Lonchura striata: one gene and its partners. The protein of the gene in region 1 interacts with the protein of each later gene in a pairwise test. Links are inferred from orthologs where the notes say so. Each region holds a gene or a part of one and is shown on either strand. Other genes may lie near its edges. The genes, in order: EHHADH, FUNDC1, microtubule nucleation factor SSNA1 and DES.

Evidence for each region.
Region 2: the proteins of EHHADH (region 1) and FUNDC1 interact in binary tests that used the Homo sapiens proteins (3 or more experiments, as listed by UniProt). The two-hybrid records come from large-scale screens. The link is inferred for Lonchura striata from reciprocal best matches to the Homo sapiens genes EHHADH and FUNDC1.
Region 3: the proteins of EHHADH (region 1) and microtubule nucleation factor SSNA1 interact in binary tests that used the Homo sapiens proteins (3 or more experiments, as listed by UniProt). The two-hybrid records come from large-scale screens. The link is inferred for Lonchura striata from reciprocal best matches to the Homo sapiens genes EHHADH and SSNA1.
Region 4: the proteins of EHHADH (region 1) and DES interact in binary tests that used the Homo sapiens proteins (3 or more experiments, as listed by UniProt). The two-hybrid records come from large-scale screens. The link is inferred for Lonchura striata from reciprocal best matches to the Homo sapiens genes EHHADH and DES.

What each region holds. Positions count from the first base shown.
Region 1 is NC_134612.1:6,533,621-6,540,529, forward strand, and holds the start of EHHADH (peroxisomal bifunctional enzyme), read left to right. Parts: upstream 1-3,906; 5' UTR 3,907-3,932; coding exon 3,933-4,003; intron 4,004-6,909. UniProt on the Homo sapiens protein: Peroxisomal trifunctional enzyme possessing 2-enoyl-CoA hydratase, 3-hydroxyacyl-CoA dehydrogenase, and delta 3, delta 2-enoyl-CoA isomerase activities. Catalyzes two of the four reactions of the long chain fatty acids peroxisomal beta-oxidation pathway.
Region 2 is NC_134604.1:110,767,725-110,774,916, forward strand, and holds the start of FUNDC1 (FUN14 domain-containing protein 1), read right to left. Parts: upstream 3,011-7,192; 5' UTR 2,880-3,010; coding exon 2,816-2,879; intron 2,463-2,815; coding exon 2,306-2,462; intron 476-2,305; coding exon 400-475; intron 1-399. UniProt on the Homo sapiens protein: Integral mitochondrial outer-membrane protein that mediates the formation of mitochondria-associated endoplasmic reticulum membranes (MAMs).
Region 3 is NC_134603.1:141,329,140-141,336,344, forward strand, and holds the start of microtubule nucleation factor SSNA1, read right to left. Parts: upstream 3,023-7,205; 5' UTR 2,900-3,022; intron 1,937-2,899; 5' UTR 1,896-1,936; coding exon 1,551-1,895; 3' UTR 1-1,550. Other genes in the region: WAC (WW domain-containing adapter protein with coiled-coil), read left to right, coding at 3,668-3,708, 3,835-3,871, 5,244-5,439. UniProt on the Homo sapiens protein: Microtubule-binding protein which stabilizes dynamic microtubules by slowing growth and shrinkage at both plus and minus ends and serves as a sensor of microtubule damage, protecting microtubules from the microtubule-severing enzyme SPAST.
Region 4 is NC_134610.1:16,073,085-16,080,024, forward strand, and holds the start of DES (desmin), read left to right. Parts: upstream 1-3,930; 5' UTR 3,931-4,005; coding exon 4,006-4,556; intron 4,557-5,975; coding exon 5,976-6,036; intron 6,037-6,210; coding exon 6,211-6,306; intron 6,307-6,395; coding exon 6,396-6,557; intron 6,558-6,643; coding exon 6,644-6,769; intron 6,770-6,940. UniProt on the Homo sapiens protein: Muscle-specific type III intermediate filament essential for proper muscular structure and function.

The DNA of each region.
Region 1 (6,909 bases):
AGTTTCAGAGCAGTAATCCTGGGTTTCAAGAAGCCAAGGAGCAGAGTAAAGTCTCAATAAAACAAAAGTCTTCCAAGGCCAGGTCGGACAGGGCTTGAAGCAACCTGGTCGAGTGGAAGGTGTCCCTGGCCATGGCAGGGCATGGATTGAGATGACCTCTAAGGTCCCTTTAACCCAAACCTGTCTGTGATTCCATGCTAACAGCTGTCGTGCTCACAGGGCTGTGTTGCTGCTCTCCACACCTGCACACACACATTTGAAACAAAAATGAGCTGTTTGCTTCTAAGGGGAATGCAGAGTTGGGTATGCAACTGTTCTCCATCTCCACACTAGTTTTTAAGTTATTAAATGTAGTAACAGGGGCAAAGTTAACAATGCATTTAATTATGCCCTGCCTTACTTTATAAGACAAAACAAAAAGCAAAGATTCCAAGACATTTGAAAACCTTTTTTACTACAGGAAAAAAAAAAAAAAATCCTCAAAGGATACCCAGTTAGGACAAAAAGGTTTTTAAATATGTCTTTATCACGTCAATCTAAAACAACCTTCATGGCTGACAGAAGCTGTGGCTCTTCAGCAGAAATTTAAATTCTGCAATAGGATGCTATTGCATGGCCCACAGTGTGCCTTGCTGTGTTGTTCTAGTTATCACACCTGCTCCACCTTTGTAAGGGCTCTCTGTGCCAGCCCTGAGGCACTGAACTCCAGCTCACTGAGGCTCTGTGAGGCTGGGTTTTGGAGACTGTTTGGAAAATAAACTTAAAATTATCAGAGGACACCTCCTAAGGGTGTGACAACCAAAGGAGACTCTGAAATTATTTTGTGATCAAATGTTTACCAGTATTGGCTTTTACCACACATGAAGGGGTCAGACAAAAATTACAAAAATTGCAGCTCTTTTTACAGCAGATAATAAGTGGGGGGGAAAAAGGGCCATAGCTGTAAGAGGGAAAGCCGAAAACAGCTGTTGGATTTAGCTGGCCCTCCTGTCTGTCATTTCAACAGCAAGGTATAATTCAGGCCTGAAGTTTAGACCAGCTGATGACAAGAACCAGTAAGTTTTTCAGTTTTCAGAGTTCCTGCCCCTCTCAGCACTGTGGCCATGGGCTTTACCACAAATCTCCACTCAGATTGCACAATACAGCTGATAAGACCTTCCATGCTCCCCAGAGGTCATTCCCATAGAAATACTCTACTCCTACAGATGGGACATTACTGCACTCACCTTTTCCAGTCTCTCTGGGTGCAGCTGTCAAAAAAGCATTTTCCAGGAATTTTTGTTCTGTGTGAATAAGGTTAGAGCAAATCAAGGTGCTTCTTATGGAGTACCTTGTATCACTGATATACTGGAATAAAAATGAAGCTGAGGCTCCTATAAATAAAGCATTTGTTTTTATCATTCAGCACTTCCTGAACAGGATGATGATCCCGGGGGCTTGCAGGAGACTTGATATATTTGTGTTGCTCCAGCTCAGAAAGAAGTAGGAATCTTTTTTTCCTACTATGGCACTTTCTGAGGGGTTCAGAAGACAAAGCACAACATTTCCATCCATTAAAATCTGTTTTTTGGTAAAAAATACCTTCATCCCCACTATTCCTGTCTCAGAAGCCTTTTTCCAGAGCTGGGTGCTAGGTGTATTTTCTGAGCATTATTCTCTAGTGTGTGGTCAAAAGACCAGTAATCAGAGGGATCTGGAATAGTGAGATGTCTTTTCCTCTGGCAGGCCTAGGGCTAGAGAAAGCTGCCACCTTGTCCTGTGGCTCCATAGCCCACAGCTGCTTTCCAGGGAAGCACAAACTGCCTGGCAGCCCCCGCACAGCTTTAGAACAGCAGGGCTGACAGAGGCTTGCACAAGCTCTTGGGGAGCCACACAAAAGCTGGAGGAACAAACTGGACCACCCTGGTAACATTTTGCCATGGTGAAGTGCACTGACAGGCTCTTCAACCTGCACCCCTCCCATGTGCAAGATCAGCTCAGATGTAGCAGAGCTGCAGAGCCTTGGTCTGATTGCAGTGAAAAAAAGCAATGCTGGAAGAGGAAAACACAGCCAGAAGCATAATTGGGGCCTGTACCATGCACTTCTCTTTCCCCATTGGTTTGGGATCTGGATTTAAGCTCAGGCCTTTGCACTTGGTCATTACACAACTTCCAAGACTTAAAATCTCTCTGCTGTATATACTGAAATTCATTTATTCTTCTTCTCACTACCAAACTCCATTCATCTTGAAGGAAAAAGGGAAAAAAAGACAAGCACAACCTTAAATATTACCTGAACTTTTCCATAACAATGTAGAACTTTCTTCTTTTTTTTTTTCCTATGAGCTCTCTTTTCCCAAGCACTGCTTTCTTCTGTGTTTATTCGAGCTTGAAATAGGGCTGTTTTATCACAACTACAGCAGTTGTATTATTAAAGGACAAATAGATCAGACCTGTAAATTATAAACACAGAGTACAACTTAGACTGATCTTTGGTTTCATTCTGGTTAATAAAAATTCGACAGACCAGCTAGCCCTCCAAGGCATCATTTACACAATTTTTATAAACTCCCAGAACATGCTGTTTACAAGCAAATGGCAGAGTATTATCACTAGTTTAGGGGGGTTTGTAACATTATATAATAAATGCCAGAAGAGCTGTAGTGACCCACCACAATAGGTGTAACAATAAAGGTTATATAAAAGCAGCAATAAAGCTTGCTTTTAGTGAAGGACCTTTCTGTACATGTAAATCAATTTCTAAAAATGTGTACACCTGTTCCAGACCAGGGAAAAACTGTAGCCATTCTGCCCAGGGACTGACTTTTAAAGGCCAAGAGACATAAAGGGGAGATTATAGATATATAAATAAGAATATAACAATGTATAGATGAGAATATTTTCTGTCCTTTAAATAACATTTTAAAGCAACAAATACCTGTTGTAACATTAGAAACTGTTTCCCCTCCCTACCTCTCAGCTCTTTTTACAGTGGCACTACAGCACTGAGCTGAGGGGCTGGTTTGAAGTGATGCCCGAGAGGACCAGAGGGACAGAGCTTGACTTGGAGCACACATTAAATTCCAGTGTTGTCCCAGAAAAGGTTCTTTCACCCAGTATACAAGATGCCAATCCAACACTAAGTCAAGGTGTTTGATTTATTTACATTTGTGCACAGAAAGAAGGCTGGGTAGCAAATCCACAAAGCCAGCATAACTATCAAAACTTTTCACTATTTATACATTTTAGCAAATGAAGGTATTGGTGTTCATTGGCTGCAAGTTACATCATTCTCTTATTTAGTGGTCTGTCTTCTACTGATTAATGATTCTCTCATTTCTCATGCTAATTAGGCCAGTCTTTATCTTCTTTTGGGTCAGTGGTTTCTTGGGTCAGTGGTCTGTGAGTCGCTGGTCATGACCTGCTCCTGCCAGAATTACCTTTTACCCAGTCAGGGCTGATTTCAGCACAGTTGCTGGGTTGGCTTTATTAGTTTCTTCCTTATTTTGGGGGTTCTGCCAAATGGCCTTGTGGCCTCTAAGTTCTGCATTCTGTGTGCCCACTCTCAGTGGCACATCACACACATCCTTCTTCCCAAGCATTGTCAACCTCCCGTAGGACTGGGATCATTGAAACACGTGGAGCCCCAGACCTTAACAAGGCAATTCTACCAAAAAGGTTTTCTCTTCCCAACGCCCGGACAACACTTAGAGCTTGTGAGCTGAAACCTCCTTTCTTGTTGATTAGGCTTGAAAGTTATAAAGATCAAACATTAATGAACAACCTTCCTTAAGAACAGTGTCCATACTGTGCATTTTGCCACCCCAGCAGAGGCAGCTCTCCGCCGGCCCGGGCCGGGGCCAGCCCCGCGGTGACCGGGCGGTGGGGGCGGGCTGCGGGCGGGGCGCGGCGGGGCTGGCCCGGGGACACGGGGACACAGAGGGAGGCTCGGCATGGCGCACTACGCGAGGGGCTCGGCCGTGGCCGTCATCCGGCTCTGCAACCCGCCGGTCAACGCGCTCAGGTACCGCCGGCACTGCGCGGGGAGCGTGGGCCTGAGGACACCTTAGGAGCGGGTGGAGGATTCTCCGATCTCCTTCCCTTTCACCTCGTTCCTTCTCTCCGAGCCCGAGTGAGGCTCGCCCCAGTGAGCCTCAGCCGGGACTTCTACACCGCTCAGTACTCGCAGAGTACCGGCGGCTCCTTCAGAGGTAGCCTGGATCTCGCTTTGCAAACAACATGCTGAACTTTGCCATAACTTCTGCTCTTTCTTATAATTTCTAGCTGGGGAGTTTCACAGGAGAGGTGCCAGGCTCAGCAAACCATACTTTCTGCCATCTTCGTGGAAGGTGTTTAAAAACCTTGCTTATTTCTCATCATTTTCCAGTCTTTAAACATCAAGACTGCTTCAGCAAGGCATAGCACAGCAGCGCTAGCTCAGCCTGGAGTGCCTTCAGTGCTGTTTGGTACAAGTCAGTCCTCAGATTTCCTGGTCTGATTGTCTGCCCCACATTGCTCAGTACTTGCCTGGCGAATCCTTGTGCTATCCAAGAGGGCAAAGGGCTCTGTGGGTATCAGGCATGGTTCAGCAAGCAGAGCTGGCACCAGGATTAAACTCAGCCAGGGCTATCAGAAAACAGTTCATTTGGCCTTTAAAAACAATTAAGGAATTGACCTCTAATTACTGATCTTGGTAAAGAAGGGCCCCATGCAATCTCAAACAGGAGCCAGTGAAAAATGAAGTCAAACACCAATCTGTAGGAGCCTCTGAAATTTTAGTTTTTCATGTGTCTTGAAAAGGACTTACGTGCTTTTGGCTTTACATTAGTTGTGGGGTTTAGTTCCTTTAGTTCTGAATAGCACATAAACCCTTTCTAAGCAGCTGTAGTTGTTCAGTAATAGTGACCACAGTGTCTATTCAGTCTGTATTCACAAGCCAAAAATAATCACACTGCAATTGTGCTTGATTTACAAAAGAGAAAGTTCGTTAAAAAGAAGCTCACGGAGACAAGTAAGAGCATGAAAAGGAGACGAAACATGATGTTCTTCTGTAGAAAAGCTACACTGTAACTGGCACTGGTCACTCTTCTGTTGCAACTTGTTTGGAAGTGGAATGAGAACATTTTCACATGCTCAGGTAATTACCATGAGAAACTTGGAGTGACTTGATGAGTTTAGATGAACCAGACACGTAAGACTCCCAGAACTGTATGGTGTAAGACATCCTTTGGACCTCCTGTGCCCAAGACTAGTCTAAGAAAACTTCCAGGCTGTGCTCACAATAAACTTTCAATCCTTATCATGAAAAATACAAAATACAGACCTAAAGAATCATAGAATTGCTGATGTTGGAAAGATCTTTACAATCACTGAGTCCAACCATCAGCAGTTACAGATATGTGTTTAGGAACCTTAACTCCCCTCTTTTGAGAAGTCCTGGAGAAAACCCAAAGTCACCTCTGCCTTTGAATAGCAACAGCACAACAACTTCTTCAGGACAGATCTCTGCCTTTACTGCCCTTTGCTCCTGGCCCTGCAGTGCCCTCACAGCAAGGTGCAGTTCTGGTACACCAAGGGAGACAGATTGTGTGGTTGTGGTCCTGTCCCTCAGTCCCACAGGGAAGAAAGAATATCCTGTAGACTTCAGATCCATTAAACTACAACTTGAGACATGTCGGTGGTCTTTGGTGGCATACCAGGGCAATACCTGTTTTAAAAGAGATCCATAATTCTCACACCCTTGCCATCAGGTAGGTGTTAGCTAAGATGTGACTACAGCTAGGAAAGGTACAGCACACTCTGATCCCTGGGTGCTCCTCCTGTTCCTGCACATTTCTGTACTGGACCACAGGAAGCAAGTTTCTTAGTGCTGTTGGAAATGTTGGAACTGCACAGGTGATAGCAGGCAGTGAAAGTTACAGACAGGAGCCATGCCCTGCAATCCTGAAAATTTCATTTCACAGCAGGCACAAACGCTTTTTAAGACTGGTGAGTTTTTGCTGCTGTACTCCAACCTTCCCTACCTGTCTCCATTATCCACTTCCCCCCTCCTGGGCCATCACATTAGCCATTAGCACTTTAGAAGCCAATGGTGGGCAGGAATTTGCTTTCTCCTGTCTGACATCATCCTCTGCTGGTACCTGCAGTGCTTTTCTGAGAAATGTGTGCTGACTTGAGAGCCTGGCAGCAAATTCACTTCCCACACAGACTCCCCTTTAAGCTAATCACTCTCTCCACCAGCAGAAGTGGCATGTGCCAAATTGCATTTGTTTGGAGGGCTTTTTCCTGGTTTGCAGAAGTTTAGTATTCAGAGATCTGCATTTACAAGACCACGGCATTGAGAGAAGGGATCCAGATATGCAAAGAACTAGGAGGTTTTTAGTAGCAGAAAGACAAGACTTGCAAAAGGAAGGACTGACTACCCCTTCTCAGCAGAGGCAGGCCGCTGGCACCGGGAATTAGAAGGACTTTAAGGAGTATTTCAACATTTAAGCTGACAAGGACAGAAAAGCTCCAGGGAGGATAGGGGAGGCCATGCAGTAGGGCAGCTTATGTGTGGGATTCTATGAAGTGTGGCAGCATAACAGGTTTGATTGGGAAAAGCTCTCCCTGGCTGCCAGGGTTATCCTTCTGACTCTGATCACCTTAAAATTCAAAAAATGTAAAGGGAATGAGAGAAGCTGCAGATTCAGACAGGTAGCAATGAGGGGAGAATGTGATCACCCACAGATCAGCACTTCACCAGAATGAGATACAGAGAGAAAATTCTGGGATCAATAAGCATCTGCTTCCTCAAACAACTATTCTAAAATTCCAGTCAAAAGATGCCATTCTGGCTCTGGCCTTAATTTACGTGTGGGACTGTTGAAGCTGCATTAGCAACTTGTCACACAACAATATGTGACAGTAGCTGCTACACAGCTGGATCTG
Region 2 (7,192 bases), on another chromosome or scaffold:
CTTCCAGGCAACTGCCAAAACAGCTATGATAAAACTATCAAACCAAAGTAAAACAAACACATTTTAAATTCTCCCTAACCATAGGTTTACAGGCAGTTCCTCTCATCTGGCAGTGTCAAATCACACACAGTACCTCAGCTTCTGCACGGAAGTTCTCTTGTCTTACAACAAACTATTTTACAGGACAGAGTAGATTCTGATTTACCACTGATTTTAGAAATGTCTCCTTTGTACATTTGTACACAATATTCCAGCTCAAATGTAAGGTTTTGACTGATAAGACTAAAAAGATGAAGTAGGTAAGATGCCTTCCTAATTAAATGTTACCCAACAGCTGTGCTTTTCCTATTGTTTAGTAAATAACATTTGCCAACTTATAAAGCATGAAATGCTACATACTTGAAGCAGAAGAAAGCCACCACCTACTGCAGTTGCTGCAAGCTTTCCGACTTTCTGGAACAAAAATCCCGCACACCTTAGGGGAACAAAACAAAACAAAAAAAAAACCCAGTCTAATGAAGTTTTCTGCTAAACAATGCCACACTACACAATTCCTGACTACAACTATTACCATTATTTCATATAAAAAGCAAATGTATCACTTCATATTTACAAATTTAAAAATCAAGGCTATTTAATTCAAGCAATATTAAATTAACAATGTTTAAAACAATACAATGTGAGTAATGGTTGCCTGTTCCTGGCTGTCTCATGGCCCCTTTAAAGTAACCTTGAGATCCCAAGATCTTACTGCTATTAAATGTAGCATGTTAATAAAGCACAGCATAATTACATAACAGTGCTACTATAACTGTTCCCAAGTGGAATGTAAATATATTATACTGTAATTTATATTAACTACACAACTCATAACTGAAATATCTCAGTAAAAAGCAGCACATTCCTATCACAAGAGTTAAACTCAGTGAGGGCACTCTGCTGGGACATGGTGTTAAGTCTATTTTTAATGGATCAAGGCAACCAGAAAATTACCTTGTTCTCAGGCTCCAAACCTCCCTCATCAAATGGAGAACAGATATGGATATCACAGAACAATGACAAGGCAGGAAGGGGCCTCTGGAGGTCACCTGGGCCAGTCACCTTCCCAAAACTGCTGCAGAGCCCAATCCAATCTCAAAGCTGGATCGGGCTGCCAAGAGCCCTGACTCAGACATGAGTTTCCAAGGCTGATGGTTCCACAACTTCCCTGGGCAATTCCAGTGTGTCTAAACACTGGCTCACATGCAGAGGGGAATTTTTTCCCGCTGCATATAAATAGTGAATTGTCATTTATATACATCAGTAGGCAGCCAGAGAGATGTGCATCTACAGATACTGAAATGTGCATTTTCCAGATCATTCAATAAGCCAGTTTTTATGGATGCCAGATGAACTATTCCCTAGAAACATCTGAGTTTACACGTACACATATAACTTTTTAAAATAACTCTAAGGCTACAGAAGCAAATAAAAAATTCTGACTGAAAGCTAAACCCACACCACAAAGCTGTACTGAGCTGGGTACAATAATTTCATTTTTAGTTTATTTCATCTTCTAATCCTTGCATAATCCCTCTTTAAAAGTCACTTTGCTACTATAATGGTGTTTTTCAATGAATTTACAGTTTTTCTGTGTACTGGAGTAGACAAATACCATTCAAATACCTCTGACAAATAACAAATACCTTGACACAGCTGCTCAGGCTGTGACCACATTTTCCAGTTTAAGTTCTCATCCTGACTGTCTAGCTTTCACCATGAATTATTCTAGTATAACTAGGCTATGTATCAGTTAACATCACAGTAAACTGTGAATTTGCTCAACATGGCTGCAGCTCAATTTAGAAGAAAAAAAGTCTCCAGGAAATGAGGCTCTTAATTAAAAGTACATTTTGCCATCCTTTTTTCCTTCCTTCATTTCTTTTACCTGTAAATATGTCTCAGCCATAATATAACTAAGTTTCTAAATCTAGATAAGGAAGTATGCTCTTCCATACAGAGTAAAAGCTACATGTAGTAATTTTCCATTTATTTCTTGTCATTTTAGAGCTCTGACATTTTCCCAAATCTTTTCCACAGTAACTAGTATGAGTTCCCTTGGATAACTCATGTTTCACCACTATTAAAAAACACTTCATAATGAGTCAGAGTAACAAGCTAAAATTGTTCACACATGAACAATCTTGATCAATGCTAAAGGAAATCCCATTAAACATGTATTTATCTGCTTTCAAATACCCTTGGAAATGGATCTCCTAACAAAGTAAAATGTCTAGGCCAGTTATGGAAAGGGAAGCTCCCTCACCAGCCAGTCACACCTCCCATCACAATCTGTGTGGCTACAGAGTATTTTTCTACAATTGGTCCTGAATTCCGGCCAAACAAGCGGTTCCACCAATGGTGACGTCGAGCATATTCTGTTAAATCCAGCACTTCGTAGGAATCGTCGTCACTGTCGTGGTCTGAAATAGAAAAAGCAATTTTTAAACATGTTATCTTCTCAGTTATAGAGTAAATTAACAAGTTATGTGAAAGTCCCAGACTCAGTTTGGGCATTAACCGGGTAATCCAATGGTTTCAACTGTAATGTACAAGTTATGGTCCAGCAGCTCCCAGAACAAAGGATTTGGGGATTCTATGCCATCACCAAGGTAAGGTGTAGAAGGCTACAGCAGTGGTATAATCAATAAAATCCACGCCTGGCACTGCAAAGGTGAACAAGAATCCCCTGCCTGTTCAAGAGACATCCGATAAAACTACCAGTCATCTCATTCACCACAAACAAAAAAACCCAACAAAAACCAAAGGGACAGACCAACATTTGGAAAGATTAAGAACTTCTGGCCCAGTGCTCTCCTCAGAGGACCAGGCATCAGCATTTGCCAGGAAGCGACTTCTGTTCCTTTTCCAGTGAAACAGATGACACAGGGACTTCAGTTAGGTTCCATGTTTTCAGGACAATTCTGTCAATGTTTTCAAAACAGGCATCCTACAATTTCAAATTAAGAGATCCTCAACACTGTGTATACTCAAGCATCAGAGGAAAGAGATGGGTCTAGATTTTTAAAGAAAAATATTTTAAAAGTGTATCACAGTCTGTGACATACACACATGAACTGAAGTCCACTTTGATTAAATATATTTAAGGTTAAATCTAAATTCAGCACTATGGGTAGGACATTCCAGAAGAAGTTAAATTTTTACCTAGAATTAAAGCAAGACTGTAAATATAAACATTTTATTAAAATTTTGACAGTTTTTTAACTTGTACTACCAGTATGGGTAAAAGCTTCAAAGACTGCAAGAAGTACATATATAGGTGGGCATTATTTCTCTTTATTACCATATGTCCTTGAGTACTAAGTAATAAATAGTGAGACCTATAATGCTAAAAAATTGATATTGAATGTTCTTTCTTTGCAGTACTGAGGACAACTTGTTTAACTTCTTTGGATGGAGAATATTAAAACACTGTCATGAACAGTCACAATAATTCCGCCCTTAAATTATTATTATTTAAACCAGAACTAGTGTACACATCCATAACACGCTCTGTGGCAAATAACTGCCAGAGCGTTTTCTACCGATGAAAAATCCTCCTGCATGCGACAAATGATGTTCCGCACACTGCCCAAGCACACGGAACGTGCCAGTGCCGAAAGGCGCCGCAGGACGAGGCCACAGCGATGCCCGGAGAGCCCCGCGCGGGGAAGGATGCGGCGGCCATGGGGGCTGGAGCCTCCGGTCCCGCATCCCCCCGGCACCTCCGGCTCCGTGAGGGCTCGGCCGGCCCTCATTCTGCCCGCGGGCCTGCCTAGAAGGGGTTTGGCTGGTTAAATCCCGGGAACGAGCTTTAGCCCGGGTGATGCCAGGAGCGCCGGGGCCGATGCGCCGGGCCGCGCGGTGGAGGGGGGGACACGCAACGGACAAGGGAGGCGCAGAGCCCGGGCCATCCCTCCCCGCCCCCGGGACGCAGCGGGAGGGGGCTGCCCGCCGCCCCCGAGAGGAGGAAGGGCGCCCGCCGCGCCGCCTCCTCCGCGCTCCCGTCAGGAAGGGGCCAGCACTGACCTGAGGCGGAGCGGGGCCGCCGCGCCGCCATGTTGGCCGGTGCTGAGGCGGCGAGCGGCCGCCCCGCTGCGCCCCCAGCGGCCGCTCGCGCCCCGCCCCGCCGCGGTGCCGCCCCCTCGCGGCCGCGCCGCGCATGCGCCTCCCGCTCCCCTCACCCCGGGGAGTCCCTGAGGGGGAGGCTGCGGGAAGGGGCGCGGGCTGCGCGGTGGGAATAGTGGCGTATCCCGAGCTGGAGAGGACCCGCGGGGATCAGCGAATCCAGCTGGCTGCCCTGCGCAAGGCACCGCAAGAATCCTGCCGTGTGCCTCAGTTATCCCGACGCTTCTTGAGCTCTGCCGGGCTGGTGCTGTGACCACTGCCCTGGGGAGCCTGTTCCACTGCCCAGCGAACCCGCTGGAGGAAGAATCTTTTCCTAATATCCAACCTAAACCTGCCCTGACACAGCTTCAGGGCATTCCCTCGGGATGTGTCACCGTCATCACAGAGTGATGATCAGTGCCTGCCCCTCCTCTCCCCTCACAAGGAATTTGTGACTGCACTGAGGTCTCCCCTCAGTCTCCTCCAGGCTGGACAGACCAAGCGCCCTCAGCTGCTCCTCACACGCTTCCCCTCAAGGCCTTCCACCATCTTCGTTGCCCTCTTTTGGGCTCTCTCCAACAGTTCACTGTGTTTCTTGTATTGTGGTCCTCAAAACAGCACACGATATTCAAGCCTGTGCCTTGAGGGGCTCATTGATGCCAGTGGTGGGGGTAAGAACCCCAAAACCTTCTCAATATCTCCCAGTGGCTGCAGGCATGGCTGGACAGCAGCTGCGTGCCACGAGCCCCATAAAAATTAATAACCAGAAAAAACCAAACACAAGGCCCCTCAAAGTACAAAGGTTAAAGCCAATGTGAGCTGTGAAACATTGGAAAAAACTAAATTTGAGCCCTGGTGTGCTTGCTCCTTCAATGCGTTGGTGGGGTTTCAATGGGCTAAAAGCCACATAATTGTATTTTAGGACTGTTTTTTTAAATGTATGCAGCCGCCACGGAGGTGGCTGACACAGTAAGTGCACCTTTAGGAGCTTTATTGCAATATGAATGAAGAAAACATCAAGGAACTTAATTTATAAATAATAAAATTGAAAACAAATTATTTAAAAGTGTTTACAGCTTCTCACTTGGACTCTTACACTGTCAATACACAAAGCAGGTAATTATAATGAATAAAATCCACTTTTCTGTATGTCATAAAGCTATTTTTATGGAGTAAGCATTTAGGATTTTAATTAAACCCCTTAATTACACCAGCCTTTACAGACATACCAGAAGAGGGAAGAATGTATCTTCCACGAGAAAGTCCTTCTGTAGTCTGCTCTGAAACTGAAATTAGCATATAAAACTTGAAATTAGTGTATAAAGTGGTTGTTTGCTTATTAAATTATTTTTATTACAAACATTTGCCATTGTGATAATTAGGTGACAGCATGCCAGACAGAACTGGTAATATATTGCTTTCTCTAAGGTTTTCAACAGATACATTCCTATAAGGAACAAACAGATTTGTCTCTTATGATTTGTTTTGACAAACACTGTGCATCTTGGGAGTTTTCTTGTTTAAGCATAAAATTGGTGGGTTTGGTATTCCCTTCCCAGTCAGTAAAAAAGTGCTTGTTGACATTTCCCAGTCAGATGCCAGTAAGGTAAGAGAGGTGACCAGAGAGTTTTGCTCACGTTGTGTGAGCCTGGCTATTTTTGTACCTTTTGTAGCTTGAATTCTTAATATTTGGCTTCCCTATTTTTAACTACTATCAGTTAAAAAATAGCAGCACTTCTGTGCAAACAATTATATTAATTTCCTTTCAGAACAGGGAGGTTTGTATAATTAGCACTTTTAAAAGATTAACATTAGTAGCTGCATCATGTACTACCTGCGAATTCTGTTTGCTTCCTTTTGCACCCCTCTTGCCAAGTCAGGGTGGTGTGAGTGGCAGGGAAGGAGTTTAGGAAAGACCCAGGGAAAGCCCTTTGGCAGGTTTCGGGTTGTGTTGTCTCTGTTCTGGGATCAGGATGCACCCCAAGGCGTTTCCCAGTGGGTTCCAGTTGGATGGACACCACAGTAGGATGCAGTGGTGCTCCCAGTATCTGCCTGGGATCTGCAGGCACTGCCTGGGGGATTGGCTCAATGCTTGCACAGAAAATGATGTCAGGATTGTTCTTGCTCCCAGCAAAATCCGTACCCTGTGCAGAGACAGCAAACCTCGTGGCTCCAGAGACCAAGAATAACTGGCAGAGCTTTTACCAGCCCCACTGTGATGTATAAAATTCCCCAAGCCCATTCAAATCTCTTGCACCCTGATGCTTCCTTCAAGCTATTAATGGCAGATTCTGACAGATTTTCCAAGGAAAGGTAGACAATTTAAACTCAGGCCACATTTTGGCTTCACCCTTAAAGGTTCTTCAGGAACAAAGTGTTTTCCTGTATCATCAGAAGGACTGCGCAGAAAAACTGCTCTCTTTGCTCTGTAAATGCTACCTACAAGTTCAGGCTGTGCAGCCACCCTCTGTACCTTATAGCTGTGACAAGCATGTTCAGGGTCACAGCTTGCAATGGAACATACATGGCACACACGTACCTTACAAATAATAAAAAACTCCACACTAAGCAACCAAAAACCCCCAAATGCCCCAAAACCCCAAAAAGCAGAAGAGAGACCCCCAATCATCAAATGCCTGTGCGACTCTAATCCTAGCAGCTTTGTGCTGCTGACCAGAATTCCAAACTGGAACATACATCCTTTAATTTTTTACCACCTTGCATGATTAATTATAGAAACTAAAGGCAACACACACTGCCAGCCCTCTCCACTAGGCCTTGCTTGTGAGTGAAACTTATGTTCTCCACAGGCTTAATCTAGTAAATGCAGTCAGAATAACCTGGCAATAAAGGTATTGGAGTGAATGGATGATTCCTTTTTAACAACCCTATGTGAACATGCTGTTATTCAAAGCTCTGTTGGCTGGAAAATGGCAGAGAAATGTCTGGGAAGGGATTTGGGTTCTAAGTCCATCAAGATCCTGGGCAAGGGCTGTTGTGGAGCAATAACCTGGACTGTTAATGCAGTAGGAAGCTCCATGGCTTC
Region 3 (7,205 bases), on another chromosome or scaffold:
AATAAATCACTTTTTTGCTACAAAAAATAGCAAAATTTTCCTGTTTCTCTTCAACATAAACAAAGTGGTCCTGAGTGCTGCAATACTCCAATAGCAATGCTCCTGAGATAATACACTTTTATTACCTCTGCATTACCCACTGGGAATTCCCCAAAGGGCCATACAAGTAAACTGATTAGCCTAGTCACAATCATCCCTGATGTAGCTTGGCAACCAGAAGAACATAAAATTTGCTCCCTATTATTGATGAAGAGCTATTACCAAAACTATTCACATCTTCATTCCCTCTATATGTGCACCTTACAAACACACCACTATCAAGTCAGGAGATTTCAACTGCACTTCTTTCAATTTAAGTAATTGGTATTGAATGGAGATTCAGTTTAAGTCATTGTTGTAACATTTCAATAAGAGGGACAAAATGCACATGTACGTGCACACACTGCTGAGAGACTTCTGCAGAACAGAGAGGTTCAGCAGAAACAAAAAACAGCATTAAACTGATATTTATGCCATGCTGTTATATTATCCCTGATCTCTAAACTAAGTTCTATTTTAATGTCCTCTGTAAGAATGACTGATAGCTGAAAACCACTTCTCATTTTCTTCTTTCACCTTTCATTTGTATTTCTTTCATATCATTTTAGGATGTTTACTATTCTCCACAATTTTATTACAATTATTTAACAGATCAGTCTAAAGCTAAAAGGAACTAAAAAGGCTTCCAAAAATTCTATTACTGGCTTCTAGCCAGGATTATCTTCTTTGGTCTTTATTTACCTCTGTATTTTTAACTGGACCCCAGTGGTTTTTCAGGACTTCTAGTTGCTACTGACGTGATTTTCTTACCCCCAAGTGAATTACTGGTCCAAGCCTTCATGGTGCACCTGTCTTTGCACTTGCACCAAACCCTTTCACTGCAGCACATCTCCTTTCTAAACAAGGCTTTGAAGAATACCTTAAGAAGATGCATGAACCACATACAGTGTTAAATTTTAAGCCTCCATGCCCTGCATTACTCCTGATTTCTCACCTTATCCCTCTATTATTCAAATAGGCAATTATTGTAAACGGGGCTGTCTTTGTGCAGGCATCAAAACTCCGAGCTCCTAGAGCAAAGTAAAAGTAGCTCATTTCAACTTGGTCCCAACAGTAAAGCCTAAGCATTAGTAAAATGAAAAGAAGTAGTATCTGATTGACTTGCATCTACTAGTTTTCAAAGAATAATTTACTGGGAGCCATCTGAAGTCAACCAATAAAACATGCCTTTTTTCTAAGACTTGAAGCATAATGATGTCAAAACTGACAGTCTCCCATCTGCCTCAACTACCTATCTGCTATTTTTCGTAGTGTTCAATTAGGTAGATTTCTTAAAGCAAAACGGCAACTTTATTTAATCTGTTTTCTAGTGCATTTGAAAATAAAAAAACATACAGAAAGACTGGAAGAAAACCGCTCTCTGCTTATACTGTGGCTGTAGGGTTCCGTGGCTGACCACGTTTCTCACCTAGTGGAATTCTAGCACTGCAGAGTCCAAACATTTGACTGTTTCATGTTACATGGGTTTTCAGATCTGGTGAATGCTTTAAGCTTCCCACTTCCTTCTTCAGGACATTAAGTAAAGTTCTAGAGCTATCCAAAATCTTCATGTAAGCAGCTTCAGTTTCAGCAAGTATTTTATCAAGCTCATTCCGTGAAGCCACTTTTTGGGCCAAGTTTTCACATACACACTCCAGCTGTTCACTGAGGACTTGGATTTCATGCTGGAGTTTATTCTTTTCCTCTTCTGCTTGCCGGATTTGTTTGTTCAATTCTTCTTTCTGCATACATAAATCTTCAATGCATTTCACTAGTTCATTATTGTAACCCTGAAGAACAGCTCCCTGCTGAGTCATCCTGCACTCACTCCCTGAAGTCCCCTTTCAGCAATGGCCTTCTGCACTCAAATTAAAGGAAAACAAACAAACAAACAGAAAAAAAAAAAAATCTGTGAGAGCATTGCCGTGAATAATGCTTCACTAGCACAGATGGAGCCACTGGGCAAGGTTCTCTAAGTTAACAGGCCCATTCTCAGATATGCCACATCTCTTCCCTTTTCAGGAGGCAGACAGGACAAAATCTGGCAAATGTTCTTAAACCTTTACTGTAAACTGCTGTCCCTTATGACACTGCCATGGCACTGGCATCGAAGTATTTATGATACGGTTAATAATACCTTTGTACAACCTTGAATATAGGATGCTTTGTACATCAGACTTCGAGGGCCTGGTCAGAAATAAGCAAAAACTACAGAATCACAGAATGCATAAGGTTGGAAGGGACTTGTGGAGATCATCCAGTCCAACCCCCTGGCAAGACAGGGTCACCAGGAGCAACCAAGTGGGTATTGAATGTCTCCGCAGAGGGAGACTCCACGCCCTTCCCAGGGAGCCTAATCCAGTGCTCTTCCACCCTCAAAGGAATTTTTTCCTCATTCTGAGGTGAAACTTCTCGTGTTTTAGTTTATGGACGTCGCTCCTCGTCCTGTCACCGGGCACAGCCCTGAGTGGCTCAGCAGGCACTGCCAAGGCCAGGGAATCTCCCGACACGGCGGCGCCCGCAGCTCCCCCAACACTGGGGTGACGCGGCTCGCATGTGCCGGGGCCACGGCGTGTGCCGCCCTCACACCCCCGAGGACACCCCGGGACCGAGGCCAGCCCGAGCCCGCGGCCGCCGTCCCAGGGACATTTTAACACCCTCCGCGCCGCACAGCGCGGCCCCGCCGACACGCGCCGCGCACAAAATGGCTCCCGCCTGCACATCGAGTGCCCGGGCGGAAGGGGAGGAGGGGGTAGGTAAGAGGAGACCTTCCCATTCCTATGTCCCCCCCGCCCCCCGTAATTCCCCCTGTTGCCCCCACCTGCCTGGCAGGATCGCGATTCCTCCCCACCGAGGGAGCGGCTCTGCCACCGAGGCCGCGCTGCCCTCGGCTACCCGGCCCCGTGCTCCCGCCAGCGACCGCGCCGGCCCACGGAAATACCCGAGCGCTTCCGAACGTGGCGCCGCCCTGACGGCCGCACGGAAACGTCTCTCCGGAAAAACGCGATGTTTTCCGAAGACAGGTAGCGCTCGCAAGAGTGGGCCGAGGCGGGAGGGGCAGGGAGGGCCGAGCGTTACGGAAGGAGCCGATATTTGCCGAAGGGAGGGACTGAAGGGCGTCGTGCGCGGCGGAGGCAGCCGATGTTTGCCGAAGGGAGGGACTGAGGGGCGTCGGGCTCGGCGGACGCAGCCGATGTTTACCGAAGGCAGAGTCGCCCGAGAGCAAAGGGGACAGAGGGGACGGAGCGCGTCGGAAAGAGCCGGAAAGAGCCGACGTTGACCGAGCGCGGCGTCGCCCGAGTTCCCCGGATGTAGTTGGAGCGGCGGCGGCGGGCGCGGCGGGGGGAGGCGGTGGCCGAGTCGGTGCTCCCGGTGTGTCTCAGCGCGCGCGGGGCCGAGCTGCCAGCGTCTCCCCTCTCGAGGCGATGGGCCCGTGAGCGCCGCTCCAGCCGAGCTGCCCGAGCCGCCCCCTTCCCCCGCCCCTGCCCCCGGAGCGCTGCCGCCCCCGCCTCCCCCCTCGGCGCCTGTGGCCCGGCCGCGGCCGTGCCCTCCTGGTCCCCTCACCCTCACACACACAGGCCGGGCATTGATGGTAATGTATGCGAGGAAACAGCAGAGACTCAGTGATGGGTAAATTCACCCCCTCGGCCCCGCGGGGCCGCCCCCCCCACCCCCTCCGCCATGTTCGGCCCGGCCGCGGGGCCGGTAACGGGCGCTCGCTAACGCCTCTCTCTCTTTCTCTCGCTCTCTCCTCAGCTGTCACGACCGCAGGGGGGACTCGCAGCCCTACCAGGTACCGCCGGGCCGGGAGGAGGAGCAGGGGAGGCGGGGGGGGTGCTACTCCAGCGGAGGCTCCGGCGGCCGCCGCAGGCCGCGGTGCCCCGGCCGCCCCGGTCCGGCCCCTTGCGGGGCCCAGGGCCCGGCGCCGCGCGGCGGAGGAGCGGCGGCGGCCCGGGCGCGGGGAGCGGGGCCCCGCTGCTCGGCCGAGGCCTGCGGAGCCGGGGCGAGCGGGAGCGGCCTAGTGCGACCCGTGCGGGGCTCGGGCCTGGAGTCGGGGAGGGTGCGAGGGGCAGGAGAGGGAGCCGGGGTCACCTGTGGTGGAGTGGAGATCCAAGGGAGGTGAATGTTTTTCTTCTAAAAACAAAAGGAGTCTTGCTCTTCCACCGCCCCCTCCCCCAACCCCTCCCCAAAGCCCTTTCTTCTCCCCAAAACTGCTGCTGTGGGCTGTAACCTGAGCAGGGCATGGGTTTAGAGCCTGACCAACTTGGGGCTGCAAGTGAGGCTTAATTTCTGCAGTTGCCAGCTGCTAGGCATGTTCAGAAACCATCAAATCCTTGAGTTACCGACAATAGTCTCAATTTGTGTAAGGTGGATACTGCACTTTACTGTGTCTACTGAAGAAACCAAATTGTCGAGGTTCGAGTCTGTGGAAAGCTGTATGTTGTGATATTGCTCTCTGTGGGCCCTGAATTGGACTGTTTTACTGCATTTCTGTGTATTTGAATCACTGAAGTGCACTAGAGCCGTCCAAGGCAGCTGTCAGTGGCAGTTCACAAAAATGTAAACACTTGCCTCTCAGGAGTTCACAAAACCAAGCAGGTCAGAGTGCGGCAGAACATGTAGTTTTTGGTAAAGAGTTTATAATGAGTTATTATGTTACATGTTGGCCCCCTAGAATTATTTTTGGTTTAATTACAAGGATGTTAGTACTGAAAAAAACGTCACAGAAATTCAAGATAGTGATGCAACCAGGTGGTCTTTACTAGATTATGGAGGACATATTCGAAGTTTACACTGATTCAGTGTAACTTAAAGTTTGTTTTCCTAGTAACAAGTGGAGACTAGTTCCTCTCCCAAAACTGTTGAAGAGCTGTGGCCCATTTACTGCTGAAACTGTGTAATTCATCAGTGGAAAGATAGAGAAACTAGGATTCTTCTTAACAGCAAGTGTTGCATTTGATTTAATAGTGGGAGAAATTGGTTTAAGTTCTAATTACAGAACTTGTTGCTTTAATGTAGGTAATTAAAACTAGGAAGACTAATGCTGATATGTTTTAATAGGCAATGAAAATTATTTAACTTTTAAAATACTTCTGAAAGAGAAGAAAAAAATCCAAAAATTTTGTATCTAATGTAGATGCCTATGTTCTTGTGATCTGTTACAGGCTCTTAAGTACACATCCAAGAGTCACCCCAGTGGTGGTGATCACCGTCATGACAAGATGCGAGACGCCACAGATCCTTCGCCACCAAATAAAATGCTGCGGCGCTCTGACAGCCCTGAAAACAAATACGGTGACAACACAGGGCACAGTAAAGCAAAAAGTGTGCACACTCACAGAGTTAGAGAGAGGGATGGTGGTAAGTTATCTTTAACAAACTTCTACTTAACCAGTCACTGATTTCTCATTAAAATTAACCAGTATCAACTCAAGTGATGTCTTACACTAAATGTGCCTTGTACTCAGCTAGGGTGATTGCAGTGAACCCAAAGTGGGAATTTAATTGGAAGCAATCATTGAGGCATTATAACACCTATTAATTTTCTGGTTTTTACAGGTATGGTAGTTTTCCTTACAGTCCCAAAGATTAAATAAACCCTTTTGTTATTATTTTAACTAGTATGTCTCATTTATTTAGGCATACAGCAACGTTTGATAACATGAAATAGTTTTCCAATTTTTCATTAGTAATATTGGCTGTTTTGCATCCTTTCAATGACTTTGCGTATTGTGATGTTGTACTTTGTAGGTACATGCTCTATAGATTAAACTCCAACAGAAATGAAAAAAGCTTCTTTGTATTTAGCTGCTATGTAGAACTCTAATAGATCAAAGGTAGCACATACTAGAGCCTTTCTTGACTGGAATTTGAAGAAGTATGTTCACAGTCAAGTTAGCCTCCTATGTTTTTACAGGCTTATAAACAGTAGCAATATCCCCAGTTTTTTTTAACTGATCTTATTTTGCATCCCTGCTTCCTAGGAAAATAATAGGATTTTCCAGGTAATAACAGTGTTAGGTAACAAACAGCCAGAGTTTAGAAAATTGCAATTGCTGTCTGAATTTGGAAAAGTTCTTTTGTTCTGTTGATTGGTGTTTGTGTCAAGGTACAAGGTGAAGTATTCCAGTAGAGAATTTGGAGCTTTAAATCAGTGCTTCTTTTTTCTGTATAAAGCTAACAAATTCTGATGTACATACATGTTTATTGCTGCACTAGTTTTACTTGATATAATAGTTTTAGTAAAATAAAGGAAGTATCTTTCAAGTACCTTTTTAGGACATACTAGTGTAACCCTACAAATGTGTTCATGGATACCCAATTATTCTTGTAAATCCTATTTGTTTTTCCTTCTTTGGTTTAATGCTGAGGCTCTCTAGGCCACTGTTAATGACAGAGAAGTGTGTAGGTGCATTATAAGAACATGCCTCTTTTGTTAATACGCTGAATTTCATTGTATCTGATAATAATTTGAAGTGTAGTAATCTCAGAATTAAATGCACGTGCAATGCCCATATGCTGCTCTTCTGTGCTACTTTTCAGGATACAGAGATGTCCTCTTTTATTTTCTGTTCACCTGTCCAAAAATTAGTCCCACATTCTATTGCAGTTCTTAGTTTTGCTACAGTCGGTAATTTTATCTGCTTGAACAGAGCTGCATTTAGTGGAATCATGCATATATGAAAACATCTGGAGGATGAAGCTCTATGTGGGGATTGCTTTGCTTATTTGTGTGTTGGAGGTGTTATAAGATAGGAGAGATATTCTGAAGTCCTTATGAGGTCCAGCAGGATTTCATAGCTGGGGGGTGGTGTGAAGTATGTATACATGCAGTCAGGATGAAAGAAAATAAATTATTTGTAGTTTTGTGAATTAAAGGAACACCATCCCACTGTACCTTCTCCTAGTTGTTAAGACAGTGGAAAGTTTCATTTATTCTGATCTAAAACAGGTGTTTTCACATCATACGTTAACAGACTGGAATAAGGAAGTAGTCTTCAACAGTCTAAGGGAAATTACTAATTTTAAAAGTTTAACATTTGTACTGTTTAATTGGTGTGGCATTAGTAAGGTTAGTTTGGCCACAGTTTCACCTCTGTAAAATATATTTAGAACAACCAAAATTA
Region 4 (6,940 bases), on another chromosome or scaffold:
AGCCACCAGCGATGCAGCGGGTAATGCAACCTCATCTCATTGGCATGGGTGATGCTATCGAGGCCTGCAGCATCCTTATGGACCACCCAGCCACTCTGTCATCCCCACGTCCACATGGATCACAAGGGCAGCTGGACATCTTCAGTATCTCCACACTGCTGGGCCAGGTGAATGTCCCCATGGACCATGAGGGCAGGACACCCTTTAGCCTGCCCCTAGGCAGCAGGGATGTGGGGACATCCCCAACATCCCCATGGACCTCAGGGCCAGCTGTAGATGAGTGATGGGGCAGGTGTATGCATCAAGCAACCACATGGACACGGAAGTAGCTGGTCTCCCCCAGCATGCTTGTGAAATATAGAGGCAACAACTCACCCAGAGGACATGCAAAGGCCAAGGGAGGGGAGCAAACACCTCCTAGCATCTATACAGGTTGCATCTGGACAACCCTGGCATCCATGCTTGCCGTGGGGGCATCCAGGGACCCCCAGCATTCTGTGTCATTCACAGACAGGACAATGTCCTCAGCATCCCCATCACCACGGGACATGGAGGTGGGGACCAGGAGGAAACAGACAGTCTGTGCAACCCCTGGTCCTGAGCTCTGGAATGAGCAGAGGCATGGGGGCAGCTGGGGGACTGGAGACTTTACCCACAAACTCCTGAGACCCCATCAGACCAGGCTGGGCCTTGGTACAAGCTGGGAGGGAGAGCCACCTCCTATTTAGACAATAGCGTGCAGCCTGGATCCGTCAGCACTGGGGAATGGGCCACACAGTCCTTCCCTCTTAGGGTAAAGGCGCCTGGGAGGCTCATGGCTGTAAAAGGAGTGGGATGAAGGAAGACAGCCAGGGGTCAGGAGGGAGGGGAATGGACACCCCCGCTGCTTCATTCCCATTCCCATTCCTCAACTCACCCTTGAGCTAAGGCCAGGCATAAGGGGGCATTGGGTCCTGGTGGCAGGGTATAGGGACAAGGAAAGGCCAGCACCCTGTCCCCATATCCTGTCTAGCTTCAAGCCCCAAGACGCCCACAGCCCAAGGAGGCTGTGCTGGGTTTAAATCCTGGGGGAGCAGCACGGGGGGAGGGCCAGGAAGGAGGGGCAGCTGCAGGATGCAGCTGGCTTTGCTCACAGGGATGTCATGACCAGAGGGAGTTGTTTGACATTCCGGCTCCAAACGCCTTCCCGGCAGCAGTCTCATCCAAGATTTGATCGAAACTGGGACCAGGCCAGTGCGGGGGCTCAGGAGCCACTTCCCAGGCTCCGCCGGTCTGGGTCAGCCTGGCCTGGGACGGAGCTGTGGGGAGGCTGCACAGGACCAGACAGGACAGGAGGCAGCCCTGCACTTCTGGCCTCTGCAGCCTCCTGACTTTCTGCAGCCTCTGGGTCTTTAGTTGGCACAAGAGTGTTTGGCATCTTGTCCGTGGGACTCAGGCAGGGCCTCTAGGTCCTGCACTTCATCCCTCCTTCCTGGCATGCTGGGTCCCCCAAGCAGACAGGGATTTCCTAAGAGGCTTGTCCACCCTCTGCAAGACGTGGGGCCCCTGCTTGCCCAGAGCCATACCGGAAGGCTGTCACCACAGCTAAGGAAAGACCACTTCAAACAGACTGCCCTAGAGCAGGGTCAGGAGGATACTCCTGGTTAGCCCCTCTGAGCTGCTTCCCCTCCAAGCAGCAGTGCCCAAGAGTGCATTTCCCCTCCCTGGAGCACTCCAACCCTGCCCCCAACTGCTCTGTGGGATGAGGATGGGAACAAAGGCTACCCAGGCCTGAGATGGGATTTGCATCAACCTACCTGAAACCTATCAGAGCAGAGTGCCAGGCACTTCTGGACGCTGTATCCCTGAGGACTCCATCCTCCCCACAGTCCCCACTGGCACAGCAGTGGGGTGGGGTCATGGAAAGGGATGGCTGAACTCTGTTCCTGGTGGTGTGCTGTCACAGACGCCCCGAGTCCCCCTCCCGGGGCACCCACCTGCCCCTCTGCACACCAGCTAAGGGCCGGCTTGCTGGCACTTGAGGCACAGGCAGGGCACACTCGGAATGGGGCCAGAAGGAGGAAGGATGCTGTCTGTTTTTCCATCTACTCTCCCCCCACAAGCCCCCCCTTTCTTCCATTCTCTCTCTATGCTGGGATGAAACAACCTCATCTGGAAATACCTTCCCTTTTAAAGGCAGGCTCCTCCAGGCAGCTTGCACTCACTGGGAAGACACTACATCACTCTGCAACTGGGTGGTTGGGAGAGGCTCCAGGGATGGGGGCTTGGAGGAGCAGAGGGGATGCAGGGCATTGAGCATCTGCTCACCTGCATGTCTGTGGGACCCAGACTTTAGCTGGCTGCCCAAGTGACATGGAGCAGGGAGGCAGCAGCAGGGAGTTCCTCCCAGAGCCAGAGCAGTGGAGAATGCTTCCATGAACAAGCCTGAGCCTTTGCCTGATGGTGATGCTGCCGTGGGTGAGCCATGGCATTGCTTGGCTTCTGTGTTACAGGCAGGACAGAAGCCTGGAAGGTGCAGGGCCAGGCAGGGCTGAATGCTGTCCTGCTGCTGAGTCACCCTGTGCCCAGTGGCACAGCGGTCCCCTCCACCAGGGCCTTCAGTGACAAAGGCACTGGGGCTGAGCCAGCTGACGTCAGCCAAAACAGCCCAGCTTGGACAGAGCTGGGGGTCACCGGGCGTGCTGGGGAGCCTGGGGAGGAGGGGATGCTGCCCAGGCAAGGGGAACCCTCATGAAGATTTCCCCCAGCACACGTGCCCTCCCTCAGGATGTCCTTTTCAGCTGTCATGCATTTGTGCAAGGCCATGAGGGTCCCTGGCCTGACTCACCACTTTTCCAGGAAGCTGTAGTGGGGGTTTTCAGACAGACTTAGAAATTCCCCATTCTGGGAGTATTTGGGGAGCTGGGCTGGGCTTTCAGATCCCCAGTGTACTTCCTGGCCAAGGGGGGAACTGAGGCGACAGGGAAGAGCCTGCTGTGCCTTGGGATAACCTAGGGACTACGTTCTGCTCTGAGGGTGATGGGGATCAGAGAGGGGCTAGGGCTGCTCCAGGCAGGGTCACCATCCAGCTGTGCTCTCCACGTGCTTGGAGCAAGAAGGGTTAACAGAGTGCCTCCCCCACTATAAATACCACGTTTGTATGTCCCACACCCCACGAGTATGAGCTGGGAAGGCTATTTTGGTTGAGTGCCTGCTGCTTTGGGAATGTGCCGGAGCGAGGACAGGGGCTGACGTCACCGTCACTGGGGCTCAGACCCAGCACCTGCTCGGGGTCACTCAGCAGCACTCCAAAAGCACCCAGACCCTGGCCAGTGCTCAGCCCCCCATGTCAGAAAGAGAGCTTGAGTGGTGAGTCAGTAGAAGCACACTCAGGGCAGGGGTCCCCCCACATCAACCCCCCTCCAGGGCCCTTCCTTGCTCACTTTCTGGATGGGAGTCTGGCCCCACATGGAGACCTGAGCCTAGTGCTCTTGCCAGGGGGTGGGTCAGGGCATCATCAGGGGCTGTTTGGGGTGCACAAGACCAGTTTGGGGACCATGGACCTGGCACGGCATTTGATCAAGTGATGCTGTGAGGTTCCCCTCTTTCCCTTCATGGCATCAGCCTAGGCTGTCTGTCTGTCTGTCTGTCTGGACCCCCTTTGCGTGGCGCTGCATCCTGATGGGGGGTTCACCACCAGTCTGCCCCACTTCCTCCCCTCGCACTGCCAGAGACGGGGCAGAGCAGTGGGGGCCGGTGTCAAGGCCTCCCAGAGAGCTGCAGGGGGGCCCAGGGGTGCCTGTGTGCCGGGGGGTGTGTGCAGGTGAGGGGCAGTGGGCGGGGGCTGCCGGCCGGATCCCCCGCGGCAGCGTCCCGCAGCTGCCCGGCAGCAGGAGGGGCGGGTGCTGGCAGCAGGATACAAATAGCGGCGCGCCGTCCGCTCCCGACGCCTCTCCGAGCTGTGCCGGCCGCTCGCCAGCCCTCTGCCTGCTCCCTGCTCCGGCCTCGCCTCCCCACGCCGCCACCATGAGCCAGTCCTACTCCTCCAGCCAGCGGGTCTCGTCCTACCGCCGCACCTTCGGCGGCTCCCCGGTCTTCTCTCGTGCCTCCTTCGGGGGCAAGGGCAGCAGCGGCAGCTCCGTCACCTCCCGCGTCTACCAGGTGTCCCGCACCTCGGCCGTCCCCAGCCTGTCCACCTTCCGCACCACCCGCGTGACGCCCCTGCGCACCTACCAAAGCGCCTACCAGGGGGCTGGCGAGCTGCTGGACTTCAGCCTGGCCGATGCCATGAACCAGGAGTTCCTCCAGACCCGCACCAACGAGAAGGTGGAGCTGCAGGAGCTCAATGACCGTTTCGCCAACTACATCGAAAAGGTGCGCTTCTTGGAGCAGCAGAATGCCCTCATGGTGGCCGAGGTGAACCGCCTGCGGGGCAAGGAGCCCACCCGCGTGGCCGAGATGTACGAGGAGGAGCTGCGGGAGCTCCGGCGCCAGATCGAAGTGCTCACCAACCAGAGGGCTCGTGTGGAGGTTGAGCGTGACAACCTGCTCGATGACCTGCAGAAGCTCAAGCAGAAGTGAGTAGGGGGGGTCCTGGAGAGTCCCTGTGAGCATCCATCCTTGCATCTCCATCCCTAGATGTGGCTGGGAGCAGAGCTTGCCCTGGCAGCTCTTCAGGTGCTTACTGCTATCCTCGTGCCTCATGCTCAGAGCCCATGGTGAGCCCAGTGCTCTGTCACCCTTGACCACTTTCTGGGCAGCACCCAGAGGGTAGAGTGGCTCCCCCAGCAGGGGTGTCCCCTGTGCTCTCCCTTGCAGTGAGGCTGAATCTGGGCTGTAACACCACAGCACTGGGAGATCAAAGTGCACCTCACCCCGGGGTCCCCATCTCTGCTCACACCGGGGAGGGCTGCTGGGCCCATGGGTGAGCTGAGCTCTGTGGGAGAGATGGACAGACAGATGCAGTCAGGCTGGCAGAAGTAAGGGGATGGATAACCCAGGGAAGCTGCACCATCAGCTCCAGAAATGAAGGAGGGAGGGGAGGAAGCAGCTGCACTTCTGTAGGCCAGGGATGCTTCAGGCCTGCTGTGAGTGTCCATGGTGCCCTGTGAGCAGTGGGACACCCCAGAGATGCTGTGGACCTGGCTGGTGCCAGGGAAGAGAGTGGAGAGTATCCACAAGGATGGCCAGGCTGAGGGAACCCCCGGGAACTGATGTGTGGGAAACCTGGCATTAGGGGCAGATAATCAAATGATGGTCTGCACCTTCCCTCCTGGACCCTGTGCCCTGGGGACACCATTCCCTCGGGGTGACACAGCCTGCTGCCTCCTCCTGTAACCCCAGCCACCACTACAGTGCTGGGGTTCTCCCTGATGCTGGGGAGCTGGGGGCTGGTGCCATGAAGGAACTCTCCCTGACAGGGGAGGAGCAGGACCCAGAACAAACGGGTGTTGGGTTTCTGCCACCCCATGTGCCAGCACCACCTGGGCGCCTCCATCTCCTCCCCACTGCCTTTCCACTGACATGCAGCCTGCAGTACTGTTGCCTTCCTTGACACAAGCCTGGACCTCCAGCCCTGACCTGAACCTCCCCCACAGCAGTCCCAACTTCACATCCCATCCCACAGCAATGCCAAAATCTGTCTGTGCTCCTGCTCTCCCTGGGATAGCTCAGCTGGTGCCCATCTCTGGACTCCTTGTCAGATCCTGCGCTCTGTCCCCCCAGCTGCTGGTCACTCTCCCCTATAAGGGCTGGGGCAGTGTGCGTGGCACTGAGCTGACCTCATGTCTTTGTGATCTCTCTGGCGTTGACTATAATAGGGAATAGGAGGAAGAGCCCCTGGCCCCCCGCCAGTCCTCTGCTGCCTGCCGGGAGCACAGGACAATCTGTTTTCTTCCTACTGGGCCATTCTGGGCTTAAGGACAGCTCGGGGGGACATCACCACGGAGGGATGGACCTTCCTCCAGACCCCCCTAGCCTTCCTTCTCTGCCTACAGGCTGCAAGAAGAGATCCAGCTGAAGGAGGAGGCTGAGAACAACCTCGCTGCATTCAGAGCTGTGAGTACCTGTCCCCTTGGTGTGGCGTGGGAGCCCTACCCTCCTTCCCACCCCCATCTCCCCCCAGCAGCCTGGACCCAGCACCAGGGCACGGTCCTGGACACAGCTTTGCACCTTCCAGCCCTTGTGCTCCCCGGCAACCTCCCACTATCCCTCATTCTCTGTCCTTCCCAGGATGTGGATGCAGCCACACTAGCACGCATTGACCTGGAAAGACGTATCGAGTCCCTGCAGGAAGAGATTGCCTTCCTCAAGAAGGTGCACGAAGAGGTAGGTCAGAAGTGGCACCCTTTTCCAATGGCACTCACGGGGCAGCAAAAATGGAGTGGGTGCCCTGAGATGTCACCTTGTCCATGCAGGAAATCCGGGAGCTGCAGGCACAGCTGCAGGAGCAGCACATCCAGGTGGAGATGGACATCTCCAAGCCCGATTTGACCGCCGCGCTGCGGGACATCCGCGCTCAGTACGAGAGCATTGCTGCCAAGAACATCGCCGAGGCTGAGGAGTGGTACAAGTCCAAGGTGCGGGAGGCAGTGGGCTCTGGGCTGGCCCCAGCACAGCGGGGTCCATCTCGGGGGCCATCCCCACTGACCTGGTCTCTCCCCAGGTGTCTGACCTGACACAGGCAGCCAACAAGAACAACGATGCGCTAAGGCAGGCCAAACAGGAAATGCTGGAGTACCGGCACCAGATCCAGTCCTACACCTGTGAGATTGATGCCCTCAAGGGAACGGTGAGCTAAGGGCAGCATTGAGAAGATCCCCAGCTTCCCTGCAGGGACCTGCTGTTCCAAGGCTGATCAGGGACATCTCTGGGGTGGGGGGCTCTTCCCAGCTCTCTGAGTTCCTATTGCAGAGGGCCTTATATCCCGCATTTGGACTGCACCTCCCCCAGCAGTGGCCTG